Oreochromis niloticus: one gene and its partner. The protein of the gene in region 1 purifies or fractionates together with the protein of each later gene. This does not show direct contact. Links are inferred from orthologs where the notes say so. Each region holds a gene or a part of one and is shown on either strand. Other genes may lie near its edges.

The links.
Region 2: the proteins of map4k5 (region 1) and crkl purify together in Homo sapiens (affinity purification with western blotting; 3 studies listed by BioGRID and IntAct, with this or other methods). This does not show direct contact. The link is inferred for Oreochromis niloticus from reciprocal best matches to the Homo sapiens genes MAP4K5 and CRKL.

Annotation. Positions count from the first base shown.
Region 1 is NC_031983.2:21,098,840-21,106,375, reverse strand, and holds the start of map4k5 (mitogen-activated protein kinase kinase kinase kinase 5), read right to left. Parts: upstream 3,064-7,536; 5' UTR 2,643-3,063; intron 2,319-2,642; 5' UTR 2,196-2,318; coding exon 2,088-2,195; intron 1-2,087. Other genes in the region: atl1 (atlastin-1), read left to right, coding at 4,387-4,426, 5,971-6,221, 6,601-6,735. UniProt on the Homo sapiens protein: May play a role in the response to environmental stress. Appears to act upstream of the JUN N-terminal pathway.
Region 2 is NC_031972.2:23,838,075-23,846,066, forward strand, and holds the start of crkl (crk-like protein), read right to left. Parts: upstream 3,139-7,992; 5' UTR 2,129-3,138; coding exon 1,818-2,128; intron 1,434-1,817; coding exon 962-1,433; intron 1-961. UniProt on the Homo sapiens protein: May mediate the transduction of intracellular signals.

The DNA of each region.
Region 1 (7,536 bases):
GAGCAGAACACACCCATAGTGAAACGCATGTTTAGACAGGGGCCTGATCGTATTTCAGCTCACTGCAGCTCTGAGCCTGTGAGCTCCGGGAGAATACCAGGCGCAGCATACCACCGGTGGCCTGTCTGGGGTGGGGGGTGGGCTGGCTCGCTGGCCAGCAAGGCTTTGTATGGAAGGAGGCCATGTGAGCCCGGCTGAACCATCACGTCTACATCAGATGGTTCGTCTGTTTGTGTGCGACAGATGGATAAAAAAGAAAATTCTCCAGCAAAACGCACCTCGCTGCAGCCAGACAAACAGTGGGAAACATCTGGCAGTTAGTCGGCTATACCCAGCAAATTAATAACAGATACGCAAAACAGCATTGGCTTGAAAGAAATACATCAACGCACTGATATAATCATTCGATTTTCTATGGGGATTCTCCAGATGTTTGAGGTTCACAACAATCTGACAAAGAAAAGGAGCAAACACTCATAAATGTGCAGCTGGAACAAGTGAACCTTTGCCATTTTTCAAGAAGAACATGGTAACAAATCACCCGAACAGTCAATTACTCTCTCTACTGTTTTTTACTTTGGACCTCTGGTTTTAATTGCAATAAGACTTGTAGACTCAAGACATATTTGCCCAGTTTTTCCACAAAAAAGGGAAAAACCCCAAAAAGAAAAACTTACGAAACTAGACTGTCTCATAAAAAGCTGCAAAATAAATATAGCACAAATGCAAGTGAAAAAAGGAACCAAATAATAATATGTTATTGCTGACAGTCCTCCCATATCATGTGCATGTCCAAAAACTAAACACAAAGTTGACAGCTAAACTCTTATGCATCACACAATGTACTCTAACTGACCACTTTATTAGGTACGCCCTTGTACTGTCCTGGAGCCACTTTCGCTTTCAGAACTGCTTTAAATCTTCACAGCACAGATTCAACAAGGTGATCAAAACATTCCTTTGGCCCATATTAACAGATAGTATCACAGAGTTGCTGAACATTTGTCGCATGCACATACATGATGTGAATCTCCTGTTCCACCGCATTTCAAAGAATAATAGAATAGAATAGAAAGATCCTTTATTGACCCTGATTGGGGGAAATTCTAGTGTTCCAGCAGCAAAGTGACAGGCAGATGGAGAATGCAAATAAAAAATGAGAAATAAGAGACTGTACAGTAAGCAAGGGCAATTTACAACATAAGCTGGTGTAGCTCATCTGGTTCAAGGTTAGACATGTTATGCATTCAGAGATGCTCTCCTGCATACTTCTGTATAACGAGGTACGCAGAACGAGTGGTTATTTGAGTTACTGTTGCCTTTCTATTAGCCTAAAGCATTTTGGCCATTCTCTTCTGACCTCTGGGATCAACGAGGCTTTTTCCCCTGCTCCTCACTGGACATTTTGTCTTTTTCAGATATTATCTGTAAAGCCTACCAATGATGGTGTGGTGGAAAATCCCAGTAGATAAAGAGTTTCCGAAATATTCAGACTATCCATCTGACGCCAACAACCACATTCAAAGTCACTTAAATCACCTTTCTTTCTTCCTCATTCTGATGCTCAGTTTGAACTTCAGCAGGGGATCATGACCATGTCCACATGCCTATCCGTTGAGTTACTCCCATGTGACTCTGCTTGCATACACAGTTAGCAAGCAGCTAAACAGGTGTACCTATTGAAGTAAGTGGTGAATGTATTTCTGATGTATGTTGCATTGTCTCCACCAAAAGTGGTAGAGCAAACTAACAAGAAGGTACAAGCAACGACCTGAGCACAACAGTCAAACTGGTTCAGCAACACTGCCTCGACAAGCAGGAAAATATAGATAACAAACTGATCCAACCAATAAAATAAGATAAAGTAAAAAACAGTAAGCGCCACCATATGCAATGTTTGGCGCATGAATGGATGCACAACCTGGCTCTCACTCAAAAGCTCCTGTCAATGTGTTTGCCACATGTTATCATGGCTTACAAAGCAAACACCACTCTGGCTTAAATTAGAGCGACAGCCTGATTCGTCATGATGTGGTGGCTTATGTTATCTCCAGCTCTAATGACAGACTGTGGGAACATCACTGTACCTTATACACGTCTCCATATGTGCCACTTCCCACCCTCTGAATGAGCTCAAAGTCATGCTGAGGGTTCCTCCTCTGGATTTCATTGCTTGGCCGGGTAAAGATATCCATGGTACCTTGACCCAGAGATGCCTTTACATTTATTTGGACTGGCCAACGGTGGTGTCGATGATCTGATGCAACAATGGTTTTGAGTCAGTGTTACTCAGACTGCCCGTCCCTGTTGTCCATGTCCTGAAAGGTGGAAAGTTGTGGGGGGGGGAAAGTGCACAAAAGAAAAACAGCGAGTATTAATCTCTAGTAATAACCCTGGACGAGCTTAGCTTTGACATCTGTCACGCAATCACTAATTAATTCACCGCCAACTACTCCTCAAAAGTAATAAAGAGAAAGGCAATTAAAATCAGTGACCATTATAACGGTATTAACATGCAGGTTGTGGTCATTCCAGCAATTAGCCAGAGCCAGTGAGAGGCTTAGCATCCGGGCGGGTCAGCTAACGCTAGCTAACTGGCTAAAGTTAGCTTCTCGGCTGGCTCTAACTTCAACAGTGTATACCTTCAACAACACAAACACGGCGGGAGCATGTCTTGAACTCCGAATCGTTTTCAGGCTTTTAACTGTGCGATGGCGTCGAATAGTTATCCAAAAAAAACAAAGGCGGTCCCCCTCTTTTGTTATCGAGGGAACAGTAGTAAACTTCACTCGCTTGCTGGTCCTGCTGCTGCTGCTGTTCACTCCTTCAGAGAAAAAGCGACAGGGTCGACTTCAAATCCCCGCAAGCCAGCGTTAAGTTTTGCCGTTGCCATGTCATTTCCCTCGGCTGACAGTTTTAGATTAGCCTCGGGCTCATGGGTAGAATACTAACGTTAAACTACATAAACAATAAACTGTTGGATTTACTGAAATAACACGCTCCCTTAAAAGCAACAGTGTGTTACTAATCTTTGTGGAGTCGCAGTTATTGGACGCTGTTGCATTCGAGTGCATCACGGAAAATAATCTAACCACAATCACGTATATAGACTAATTATTACATCATTAATAACATAACAAAAATATTCGATTTGAAATAAAGAAATAAAAATGTAAAGGGCATTAAAAGCACATGAAATGTATCCAGACGTCTCATTTTTAAAATAGTACCTTTTCTTTATTATCTATTCAAACCAAATTTTGATTTATGGGCTCGTTTTTGATGTCGTTATGGTTTAGTATCTCAGCATATCTTTTCAAAAAAGTTGGATGAATAAAATTTCTGTTGAGATGTAATTATGACCCCTTAAAGTTATCATTTGCAGGTATTACTGTATTTGAAAATGCTTTACAAGCATAATTTCATGCCACAAAATACAATAAGGAATAATAAATATATTCTAAATAAGAGAAAATCTTTATTTTTCAAAAGGTTGGTGGAAAAAGGTCTGAATTTTTTTGATGTACGGTAATAGTAATATTTTAAGTTATTCTAATTTAAAATAAAGTTTAAGTGAAAGAATTATCTGATACCAATAGGTCTAAAACCAGATATCTGTAATTTCCTTTATTACCCAACATGAAAGTGGTTTATTTTAAAACAATAATATTTATCCATGTGTTAGAATATAATATGGGTAATTGTTTTAATGAAAAAAATAAACATATTAAATTGAGTTGATGTTTTCTATTCATAAGAATAGAATAGAATAGAATAGCTTTTTATTGTCACTGTTATAAGAACAGTGAAAGGCAGTTTGGCATCTCTCCATGTAAATCTCTCCATCTCTCCATAAAGTTACAGTTCAGTTCAACGTATAATAACGGTTCAATAAAGAGGGGAATTTGTATTTATTTATTTATTGAATGTAGTATTTAACAACATACTGACTACTACTCTACCCATTTGGAATTTACATTTTTACAAAGGCGCACCTGAAGGGGGCATACCTTCCAACCTCTGTGTAATTACCGCCACCTGCCGGTAGAAGCTAAAATTTCACGTGAAGGCAGCGACAAAGAAATGCGTTTCTGGTCGCACTTTCAAGCACATAACCGCTAATCATTCTTTTCTGTAGACATTGCAATATGAGCCGAACTGCATTCAGCTGTCGTCCCATGCCTCAAGCCGCTGCTTTAGAACTGCGCCCCCTAGCGAGATACAGCATGGCTGCATCACATTGAGGATAAAAGCTCCATCATCCTCCTGCGATACGAGCATCGTTTTGGTGGAGCCAGGGCATTCTCCCAGCCCACGATATACACTCATGATTACCGACTAGGGTCGCTCAGTAACCCACAATCAAAGGGATATAACGACAGTATTATGGCGAAACACCGTCCAGAAAGAGACAGCTGGGGTGAGTGTACGTACAGTATTTCATATTTCATTGCTTTTCTTGACGGCACAAACCGTTTTTTATCTTCCCTGCCGCGGAGGAGAGGGTGTAAGTCAGTAAGATGTTTATCTTAGACTCCATGATGAAAGGCTTGGTTTCGTTTTGACCGTATCATGACCAGTGTTTATTTATTTTAATGCAGCAATGCATCACGCCATTTATGGTGAAAAATACGTGTTTTTGTGAGTCTCTGCAGGAATATTGTCTAATCAGGCATAAGCAAGCACAGACCTATATTTCTAAGACGTGTTATATTTTTATTCAGTGATCAGCGCGCAGGGAAATGTCTGTTAGTGCTCTCTGAACCTCCCTAAGAGGCCTGAAAACCACCTCCTGATGTATTTTGTTTATCACAGTGAGCTTCTCGTGATTGTACGTGGTGCATCTGGCATACAATTATGTAATATTGCATCAGAAGATAGCCTCTCATCATCCTCAGGACCACCATCTGCACCCTGACCGTTAATGTCATCATCACTGTTGGTGATTGTCACTGACATCACGCTATGCTCTGTGTTAACTTTAAATTCAGGTCTGCAAGGGAAAGGAAGGGGCTGAATGACTGCATTGGGAGTGAGGGGGAAAAGGGTGAAATGCTGCTGTTTGTCATCAGAGAGTTTATCTGGGCTGACCCACTTTAAGCAGACCGCTTCTGACGTCTTCGGCTGTTTTAAGGGCAGCAGCAGCAGCAGCAGAGGAACACGATCAGGTTAACCAGGCAGGCTCATGATGCCAGGCCTGGCTGAAGCGGCCATTGCAAGAGATGTGAAGCCACCCTGATAGTCCCCTTCAAGCCTGAGACGAAACCTTGGATGATTCCCTGCTGAATTATTCACTGTGCATTCTTGGCACCCTTTATTAATCATTTAGCACATCCTTAAAATTTTGTCTGCTACTCCTTAATCTGTCACTGCTGCTTTTTAAAGAGTTGTATCCATGCTTTGATTTGCATTAAAAGCTCAAAATTAACACCACAGCTGCAGTGACTGGAATTAGTGGTGTGTGTTTGGACTTTCTTTCGTCTTCAGTAAACAAACATTACAATGTGGGGAATTTGGGAGCTCGGAAAGCCTCCAATCATTGCAGGAAGCCCATTCAGCCCTTACACTCTACATGAGACAGCAGAGACTGGAAAGACACTGAGTCATTGCATGGAAAAGTATGGAAAAAAACCTCAGAATGCACATGATCTCATCGGATAAAAAGAGCGTGGCCTGATTCATTATGAATATTATTAACAAGCTTGCAGGCCATGCTATTGATCTGGAGCTGAAGCAGGAAGGAGTAATGGACTCAACTTTCCTGTTTCCTCACTTAATGGACTGCTAAGTGCGCTTATCATCCCTGTGAAGAAGTTCTCGCTGTTCAGTCAACATTTTAGTTGGTGTTTCATTGACACAATAAATTCTTTAAATAAAACATTTTGCCTTCATCTCTGTGTTTGACTGTAATGTTAATGCCGTTTTCTTGCTTTAGGTTTTATGATTTCCCACGACTGTCTTCTCTTCCAGGGTCCCTCAGTGATAAAAATGTCTATGATTGGAGCTCGGAGGAGGAGGAGCCAGACGGAAGAGCTCGGCCTATCCAAGTGCTGCTGGTCAAAGATGACCACACCTTTGAGCTGGATGAGGCGGCGCTGAGCCGCATCCTGCTGTCTGAGGAGGTCAGAGATCGTGAGGTGGTGGCCATCTCCGTGGCCGGAGCTTTCCGGAAGGGCAAGTCTTTCCTCATGGACTTTATGCTGCGTTACATGTACAACCATGTAAGTCTCTGCAAAAGCATTACTCCAGTCTGCGTGGTATAGATCATACAGTCTGTGTGCGTGAATCGGCTCAGCCGTGCTAGTGGAAAAGTTCCAGATTTAGCTTGTGATTTGGTGTAGCACATAAAAAATTGAAATATAGCAAAGGTACTGGCAAAAAAGAAGAATATTTATGATATTATATTACTACATGCATGCACCAACCTGCTTATGTACAGTAATCTTGGATTAAAATGGCTATGCATTTCTTTATCTTCCTTTATCATATTTATGCCATCTTTTTTTTCAAGCAGCAGATCAAATAAAAAAAATGCAATATTTCAAAGTCATAGAGGGTAAATTGACCTGTTAGACTAAACTGTGATCCGTCGGTGCTCAGGCGTCTGAAAACTGGCTCGGCAATCCAGAAGAACCTCTGACCGGCTTCTCCTGGAGGGGCGGCTCAGAGAGGGAGACCACCGGGATCCAGATTTGGAGCGAGGTCTTTCTGGTGGACAAACCAGACGGAAGAAAGGTGAGACTATATTTCATCCCACGACTGGACGAGTAGGCTAAAGTGCAATTGAGTGCTTAATTAAATATAACACATATACTTGTTTAACCTATTTACAGGGAGTGCAGAATTATTAGGCAAGTTGTATTTTTGAGGAATAATTTTATTATTGAACAACAACTATGTTCTCAATGAACCCAAAAAACTCATTAATATCAAAGCTGAATGTTTTTGGAAGTAGTTTTTAGTTTGTTTTTAGTTTTAGCTATTTTAGGGGGATATCTGTGTGTGCAGGTGAGTATTACTGTGCATAATTATTAGGCAACTTAACAAAAAACAAATATATACCCATTTCAATTATTTATTTTTACCAGTGAAACCAATATAACATCTCCACATTCACATTTCTGACATTCAAAAACAAAACAAAAACAAATCAGCGACCAATATAGCCACCTTTCTTTGCAAGGACACTCAAAAGCCTGCCATCCATGGATCCTGTCAGTGTTTTGATCTGTTCACCATCAACATTGCGTGCAGCAGCAACCACAGCCTCCCAGACACTGTTCAGAGAGGTGTACTGTTTTCCCTCCTTGTAAATCTCACATTTGATGATGGACCACAGGTTCTCAATGGGGTTCAGATCAGGTGAACAAGGAGGCCATGTCATTAGTTTTTCTTCTTTTATACCCTTTCTTGCCAGCCACGCTGTGGAGTACTTGGACGCGTGTGATGGAGCATTGTCCTGCATGAAAATCATGTTTTTCTTGAAGGATGCAGACTTCTTCCTGTACCACTGCTTGAAGAAGGTGTCTTCCAGAA
Region 2 (7,992 bases), on another chromosome or scaffold:
CCAAAAAGTTGTTTTATTTTTTTGTTTTTGTTTTTTTAACTATCCAAGGCTACAAAATAGATGTGGTTCATGTATTCTGACTGAACAGCAGCACCACATAACCAAAGCATCTTTGTGCAGCCAGTGTCCAGAGCTAGTTGTGAACAGACATAGTCTCCTGGTGTAATAATAACTTTTTATATTCAAACAAACAGGAAGGGCCTGATAAGAGCAAGCAGCAAGATGCTAAAACCACAGTTTGGTTATTAGTCTTTTAGTGTGAGCACACATCAAGAGGCTAGAATGTCAAAAGGACTCAGAAAAGGCGAAGCTTATCTGTAGACACTTTCTCACATTGAACCCAGCAAAACTACTGTGGTAACTGAAGGCGGGACTGGTGTTTCCCCAGGTCATTCTACTACTTAATTTTGCAGTTTTAGTATAAAAAGAAGTGATAGTTTTACACAGAAGCCTCTCCAAGCTTTGGTCACACAACCTAATTTTTATAAGAGTTACCTCTTGAGATTGTTGTCTATGTTTAAGTAACCTGACAGCTCCTAGAGAGCTGTCAGGTTGTGAAAATGTAAAAACACAAGTTTTTTCAGTGTTTTAACTTGACTGAGGTGATAAACTAATTTGTGTAGAAAAGTCTAAGCTGCACACAGACATCTTTGATTTATTTGGGCGCAGATGGAAAAATAATTAAGAAATGACTGAAGATGGAATACTGCTGCTTTAGGCAAAGAAGCTTATAGCGTGTTGTACTCCAGGCCCTTACCTGGCATATTAATTTACTGCATGATGTTGCATTACAGATCAAAGGTCCAGCTAAACAGATTTATGAAAAGTTAACGATTTAATTACAATATCCATCCTTTATAAAAATGAGCAGTGCATTAAAACATGATGAAATTACACTGATCCCCTAGAAAAAAAACAAAAACAAAGAAATAAAACAGGTAAGATCAAATAAATACAATACCTCTAGAGCAAGAGCAGTCTTGTCGTAGGCACAGGGCACTCGTTTCTGGATGGCTTTCGCCATGACAGGGCCGTTCTGCATGGACGGTAGCGGAGCGATAACTGCTCCAGGTGCGTTGGGCATTGGAGAAGGCGTCTGGGGTTGGGCATAGGCATGAGCAAGAGCATTGGAGGGCTCAGGGATCCCATAGCTGTTGGAGTTTCGCGATCCATGAGAAGGTTGGCCAGGGTGGAGTGAAGGTCGTACCACTTTCTCTACGTAGGGCACAGGGATCATCCCAGCACGTCCATCTTTATTCTTGGCGCTCCACCACTGCTCCTCCGGTTTTTCCAGGATGATAAGGATCTCCCCCTTCTTGAAGGGAAGGTCCTCAGCATCGCTGCCGGTGAAGTCGTATAGAGTCCGCACATACTCCAGATTCTCCTCTGCTCCAACCATGGGCTGGACAGGAGGACTCGGTGTACTTGAATACCTTAGAAAATTAAAAATAATGACGAAATTAAGTAAATGTTAATTGGTTATCCTTAAAAGTCATCACTGTGAAGCCTAGAATACAACAAAACTGCATTATTTGTTGAATAAAATCCTTTATAAACATGATTACCTAACTCCTCAATTACCAAAATGTGGTATCAGGTTTGGCTATAAAACCACACAAATCCTGAGTGAGGTTTATTTTTCCAGTGGTACCAACACTTCAAAGAAAAAACAAAACCCCCAAACAAACAAACAAACAAGCAAACTAGATGTGTGGTAATAGTGCTGATTTTATGACATAACCAAGTGAAACTGGGTTAGTTCTGATAAAAATAGTATGGTAAAGTGCTAGAGGAGGCGTGGTGGGTGACCTCCCTACCTGGGGGCTGGCTCTATCAGCGTGGTCGTGTCCAAGTAATGGATTTTGTAGAACTCCAGGAGAGCTGGGAGGTGGTCGAACTCTTGATCCCCTATTTTGAACCTCTTGCTGGGCAAAGAGTTGATGATATAGTGAGACACTTTGGAGTTTTCCGACACCGACAGTACGTAGTCGCCGGGGCAGGTCGACGAGTCTCGAACAAGAAACATGCCATGTCTCTGTCCTTGTAACCTATTCTGTGCCTCCTGTCGTGACACGGGTCCAAAATACCAGGCGGACCGATCAGAGGAATCAAATCGAGCAGTTGACATTTCTGTTCAAAAATAAGTTAATGTGGGCTTACAAATTAATATTAATAATAATAGAAAGGAAAATACTACAGGATTGGCTAGGCAATAAGTTAAAAGCTGTATGCGTGGTTCCAATTGGCCAATCACAGCAAACTGTAGGATTTGGAAGACTCAGGGCAGGGCACTCGTCGCTCTGGAAGGAGTTTCCGAGTGATTTCTTCACAAAACGCCTCAGGCACCGAAAAAATCTGTTTAAGAAAAACAAAAACAACCTGGCGTTTTTGTTTTCTTTTTTTCCCCTCCTTTCAGATGCAGGCTGCCAGTGACTTGATCCAACTCTGGAGCATACTGTTGTCCCAGTCTGCGGCCGAGCAGTTGTTAAAAGGGGGCCAAAAAACAGAAGAAAAACGAGCAAACTTACGACAGGCTACCATTGACGGAGGGCCAGAGAAGCAAACGATCAATGAAGCTTCCCCTTTTCGTTCCGCCTTCCGAGAAAACACCAAATCTTCTCTTCTAATAAATGTATCTCCTCCAGTCAGTATCAGTTGTGAGAGCGGAAAATGTGGCCTCACTTTTCCCCCCTTCTTCTTCTTTTTTCTTACATCCGATAATCCCTCATCTGTGCACAAAGGTCCCCGGCAGGTCACGAAACTATCAGCCGAAATCCTGCGGAGCTCACGGCGAGACACACTTCATGGAAACGCGTTTTCGAATCCCCTTTCTCGAGTCGGAGCAGACTTTTGAGGCAACACAGCAGAAAAATGGCGGCTCGCAACACGTCTTCACACAAAAAAATGATTTCAGGGCAGCGGCTCGTCTCCTGCGCGTGCATCTCAGGAGCCACGACCGTTTACAGGAGCTGTCGCGTGCATCCCCGACCGCTCACGAGGGATCTCGGCTTAACGATTGCTATATTTTATACTTTCCCTTATTTCCGCTCGTCCCCACTAGCACAGGCTACCAGAAGTACTGAGGTCGAAAAATGGCGACGGGAGGGCAGGTCCCGCTTTCTATCAGCGCGTCACTGACGGCAGGAGCGAGAGAGAGGGGAGGGGGGGAGAAGTGAAGGAAGGAGGTGGGCGTTTGGCGAAGCCACGGACAGCCCCTAGCTCTGCGAGAGTAGGTGTCAGTCATTTCTCAGTGAACCATTCTGCTGATAGAAGTAGCTGTTCCATCGTCTCGGGAATATAGTGAATATAGCAATATGGAGCATGTCGAGATACAAGTGTATTTTTTACTCCGTGTTCCTGCTTTGACGTAGTAATTTAATTGGATGTTTGCTTTTCAAAACTTAAAAGGGATTCACCGTGTGACTCAAAAATATAATACCACAGTTTAAATCAGGTTAAAGAGTGGCTAAACCTCAAATAAATGCTAAACCAATAGAGAGGCTAAGCAGTCAGGTCTTAAGTAGGCAACATTGATGTTAAAAGCTGCTGTAACATACTATATGTGTATGAGAGCGAGGTGTTATTTCTGTTTATATCCCTGCACTGTCATTAGTTGATTCTTAATTGGAAATATGTGTAGGCAGTGTTTCACAGTCATAGCTGGTTCTGTTAAAGCTAGGCTAATTTAACTACTACTTTTACCCTACAACAGTGGAGCATATTTTGCGATCCATTGCAGCTTTGAAGTAGATACTGTGGAGTAGACAGTGCTAATATATGTACTTTTGACAGGTAGTTATGTAGGTGTGTGAAGAGGAGCATCAAAATTGAGCTTTTTTTTCTATAAATGGAAAACATTATTCTATAAAATGATTGACAGATAGAATAAGCTACAGTTCTGAATAAAAAAAGGTCAGATGTCTGCCGAACAACGTGTTCTTATGTTAGTACTGTGTTTAGTGATTGTCTCGGATGTTTTTGTGTTCTGTGCCTTTAAATCAGTGGTCAGCTCGTGTGTTTTTAATATACTTTTTTAGCCACATAACCGCAGCCCATAGGTACAGTATATTTGCTCAGTCAACAACTAATTCATACCACCAGTAAAAAATTGTACTTATTTCCCTATTTTCATTTCCTTGTGTTATTTAACTTCCCCTTCATTCATTCTCATAATAAGTATTATCTGGCAAAGAACTGTGAAAAATCGATTTGGAGCTCACCCAGAATGACCCAACCCAAAACAGAATATGCTGCGAGAGAGAGAGAGACGGAGAGAAAGAGAGAGAGCGCATTTAAATGCAAGGGGCAGTGTCTCTGAAGAAGAAGAATGCAATCTAAGCGAAAGAATGCATCTGAGAACACAAGCAGAGTGCGGCAAGCCATTCAGCCAAGCAGAACAAGTTTTACTCAGTGATAAAAGCAGGATCTGTAAAGAAGTAGCTCTGTCCCTGTGGTGACTGAGCTTTCAGTGGCCGTGCCTCATGAGGCTACAGCTGGCACAGAACAGCTCTCATCACTGAAACACTGTCTGAATGTTAATAGATTTGCACCCACCGAGACTTAATGGCTAAAGCCTGCCAACTCCCACATTTCCACAAAGATGCAGTGATGCAACTAATTGGAAAGAGAAACAAAAAACAGACTAGTTTACTTAGAATTATGGGTAAAAAGGCTGATATTATATGCACGAACCATACTGGCTTCTAACTAGGGCAACTTTTCATTTAAGAGATTGGCTTTGTGGGATTTTGCAGGGTGAGACATACAGTATCGTTGTCTGACCTGCTGTCTAACCTTGTATGTAGATGCACACTGAAGGTTTCTTCACAAACATCACCATCTAGTGGATGTATGCAAAAGGCAATGCCTGCCATCATCCCATTATCAATAGATTCTGTTGTCTGTCTGTATGGCAGGTTAAGATTAAGCGATACTACAGGTCCAAACGTAATGAAACGTGAATTTTTGACCACCTAAGCAGCAGTTCTACAGTCCTTCAAGTGCTCTCTTAAGTACCAGCTGCTACAAAAACCCACCATACCAAAATGGATAACTTCAGGCCAGCACACACGCAGAAAAGCCTAGAAAAGCTGGTTCTTCAACCCAAAAACCCACCTGTAACTGGTTTTGCAATAGCTTAGAAAACTTTTAGCCTCTGTTAAACTCACATCAACACAGTAACCTTGAATGGATGCTCCCTTTAGCTCAGTCTTGATGCCCTGGAGTCTGAAGATTAAATGCACAGATGACACAACCACCCTTGACCTAATCGGTGGTCGATGAGTTGTTGCACAAGGAACTAGTGAACAAAACCTGTGATCTTGTTCTTTGCACAGGCGCAACAAAAGAAAAGTAATTATGGCTGGAGAGGCCCCCTCTCCACCCAGCTCATTTTTCGGCTGCAGAAGACGCAACCTAAGACACTGCAGAGAGCATCGGCACAGTTTTATTTCAGCCAGTCAGATTGTGTGTAAAGGCCGTTAGTCTGCAAATAAATTCCCCTTCCCCCACTTAAGACTTAACACTTAAGACTTCATAAGAAACTTACACATTTTACAAACCATCTTCTGCTTGTAACCACTTCAACCCCTCACTACCCTTCTGTGCCTTTATCTCTTTCACACAGCGTCTTTCTCCAGCTCTTTTCTTTGTGCATTAAACTTATATTTATTATTTTCATGGTGATGTATCCTGTGAGACAGTGACAGGAATTCCAGTGTAGTGATGCAAACTGCAGTTAATTATAATCTAAATCACGTTTTGAAGAGGATGTTCACATGGTGCAGGATAAGACCTGTGTTGGAAAGGTCAGTTTCTCTGAGACTGTAAATTTTGCTTAAAAAAAGCTTTTTATTTTATTTTAACTTCGAATAAATCATAGATACTAAAGCTGTTGAGCAGAGTTGCAACCTTGCTCTCATGTGCCAGAACACAAACACACAGATTACCTTGACAAATCCTGCCCAGGGTCACACAGACAGGCATTCAGGAACAAGATCATGTTAAGTTTTTACCATATATGATAAAATACCTGTATTCTCTATCCATGCAGTTTCTGGCAGTGGGCGAACCCCCTCCCAGCCTTCACTTTTGAAATACTTAGCCTCTACTATATTTTATTTTAACATCCTACCACGTTCCTGATTGTTGTCACTGGCATTCAGTTCAAAGTTGAGCATGCTTTGATGTGAAGACTAACGACAGACAAGCAGCAGACTGGTAAATATGGCACGAGATGCTGCTGTTAAAGAGTCAGTGCATTTTTAGACCAGTGTAAGGGTTTATATAGATGAGCGACTCACTGTTACAGCCTCCATGGCATGAGTCACCTTTTACCTCTCAGCCTGGTTTCCCAGAATATGCAGTCAGGTTTCTGTAAAGGTAAACCTGTTTACATGCTACTAAATGGACACAAATAGGTAGATATCCATAGATATTCTACATTTCTAGAAATACTTCTAGATTTCTACAGGTACACCAGGTTCACAATAAAGGCTTCAGATAAAGCATTTTCACCCGCTTCATTACTTCCTCATGTTTCAGTTTGTTGTTGCTTTGGTTCAAATGTTTTTAAATGAGCCACTTCCCCATAGCATTTCTAAAACTTTAAGAAGCCACAATTATCTCTTGTTTCTTACAATATCACATTGCATTACCTGTGACAACTTCATGCTCATAGTCTTACCTTAACTTTCTAAACTTTTTTGTTCTCACTAATTATTTTTTCATTCAGTTAGTGAAGAGTTAATACGAGACCACAGCCTAATCTAGTGCAACTGACGACGTTGCTGTAGCCAGGCCTGTCAAGTGGTCAATTCTGCTTTTGGTTATTTTAACTTCCTCGTTTTCAGTGAAGCGTTCATATGACAAGCAGGTTCAATAAAAAGACACGCCACGGCTTGTTTATTTTATTCTGTTCAACTTTATGCAGTGTTTATACTGTAAATACATGTCCAATATAGATGTTATGGATGAATCAGCAACTAAAGGAGCTGGTGAGGGTTCTTCTAAAGAGAAGGAATAAAGGGAAATGTAGCCTGTGAAGCAGAAAATGACTCATAAACCATGTAAACAGGACCGCGGTTGGGCTTAATTAAACACAAGTAATGCTCCACATAAACAAATAAATCAAAGCTTTAAATACATTTCTTAATATATCTAATTATCGCACACTTTGGCACACTTTGGCAAATCTGTAGCGATCAAAACCTAAGTGACATTTCACTTCTCTTAAACTGACAAACCCAGTGTTTGCAGTGGTGTACGACCTGAGAAACCAGTGCTAACATAACAATAGTACATTTATATAAGGTAGGATCACCTGTTGCCTATTTTGTGTCATAATATCTGAAATACAACACTCAGCATGCAAATAACTCTCCACACGATTAGCCCACTAAAAGGAACAGTATCCCGAAGAGTCAGGCGCAAAGGGAAAAATATAAAGGAACAGCATTGTTTTGTGCAGAGGACATTTATGCCCTTTCATCCTTATGCTTGAACACAAAGTGTAAATGCTTAAATACTAATGCTGGACCAGTGAAAATCATTACACTGCTCCTTAGCACACTGAATGACAAAAAAAAAGTGGTTTTATGAAAAAAAGTGTGCTTTTATGCTTGCTTTTTTGTGAAGTGAAAACAAGCCACAAATGTCCTGAAACTCAGTGGTTGAAAAAACAAGCAGAATACATGAATTATTCCCAGTGAAAAGTTGAAATCAGTCCTTCTGCTGTGTGCAAAACTAAAAGATCCAGGCCTTATAGAGCATTATTTGTGTTTTCTGTCCATATTACACATCATTATGAGCAGTAATTGTCAATAAACGTGATGCGTCTGTATTGTTTTGTTTTTTTCCTGAACAGCAGACATTTTGACATGCCGTGACAGGAAGCACACAGGTGTGTTAATGATGGTTGCATTCCACTTAAGGGAGGTGCTGCCGTATAGCATGCTGCTTCACACTGGCAAGGCTTACTTGGGAGAGGTAGTC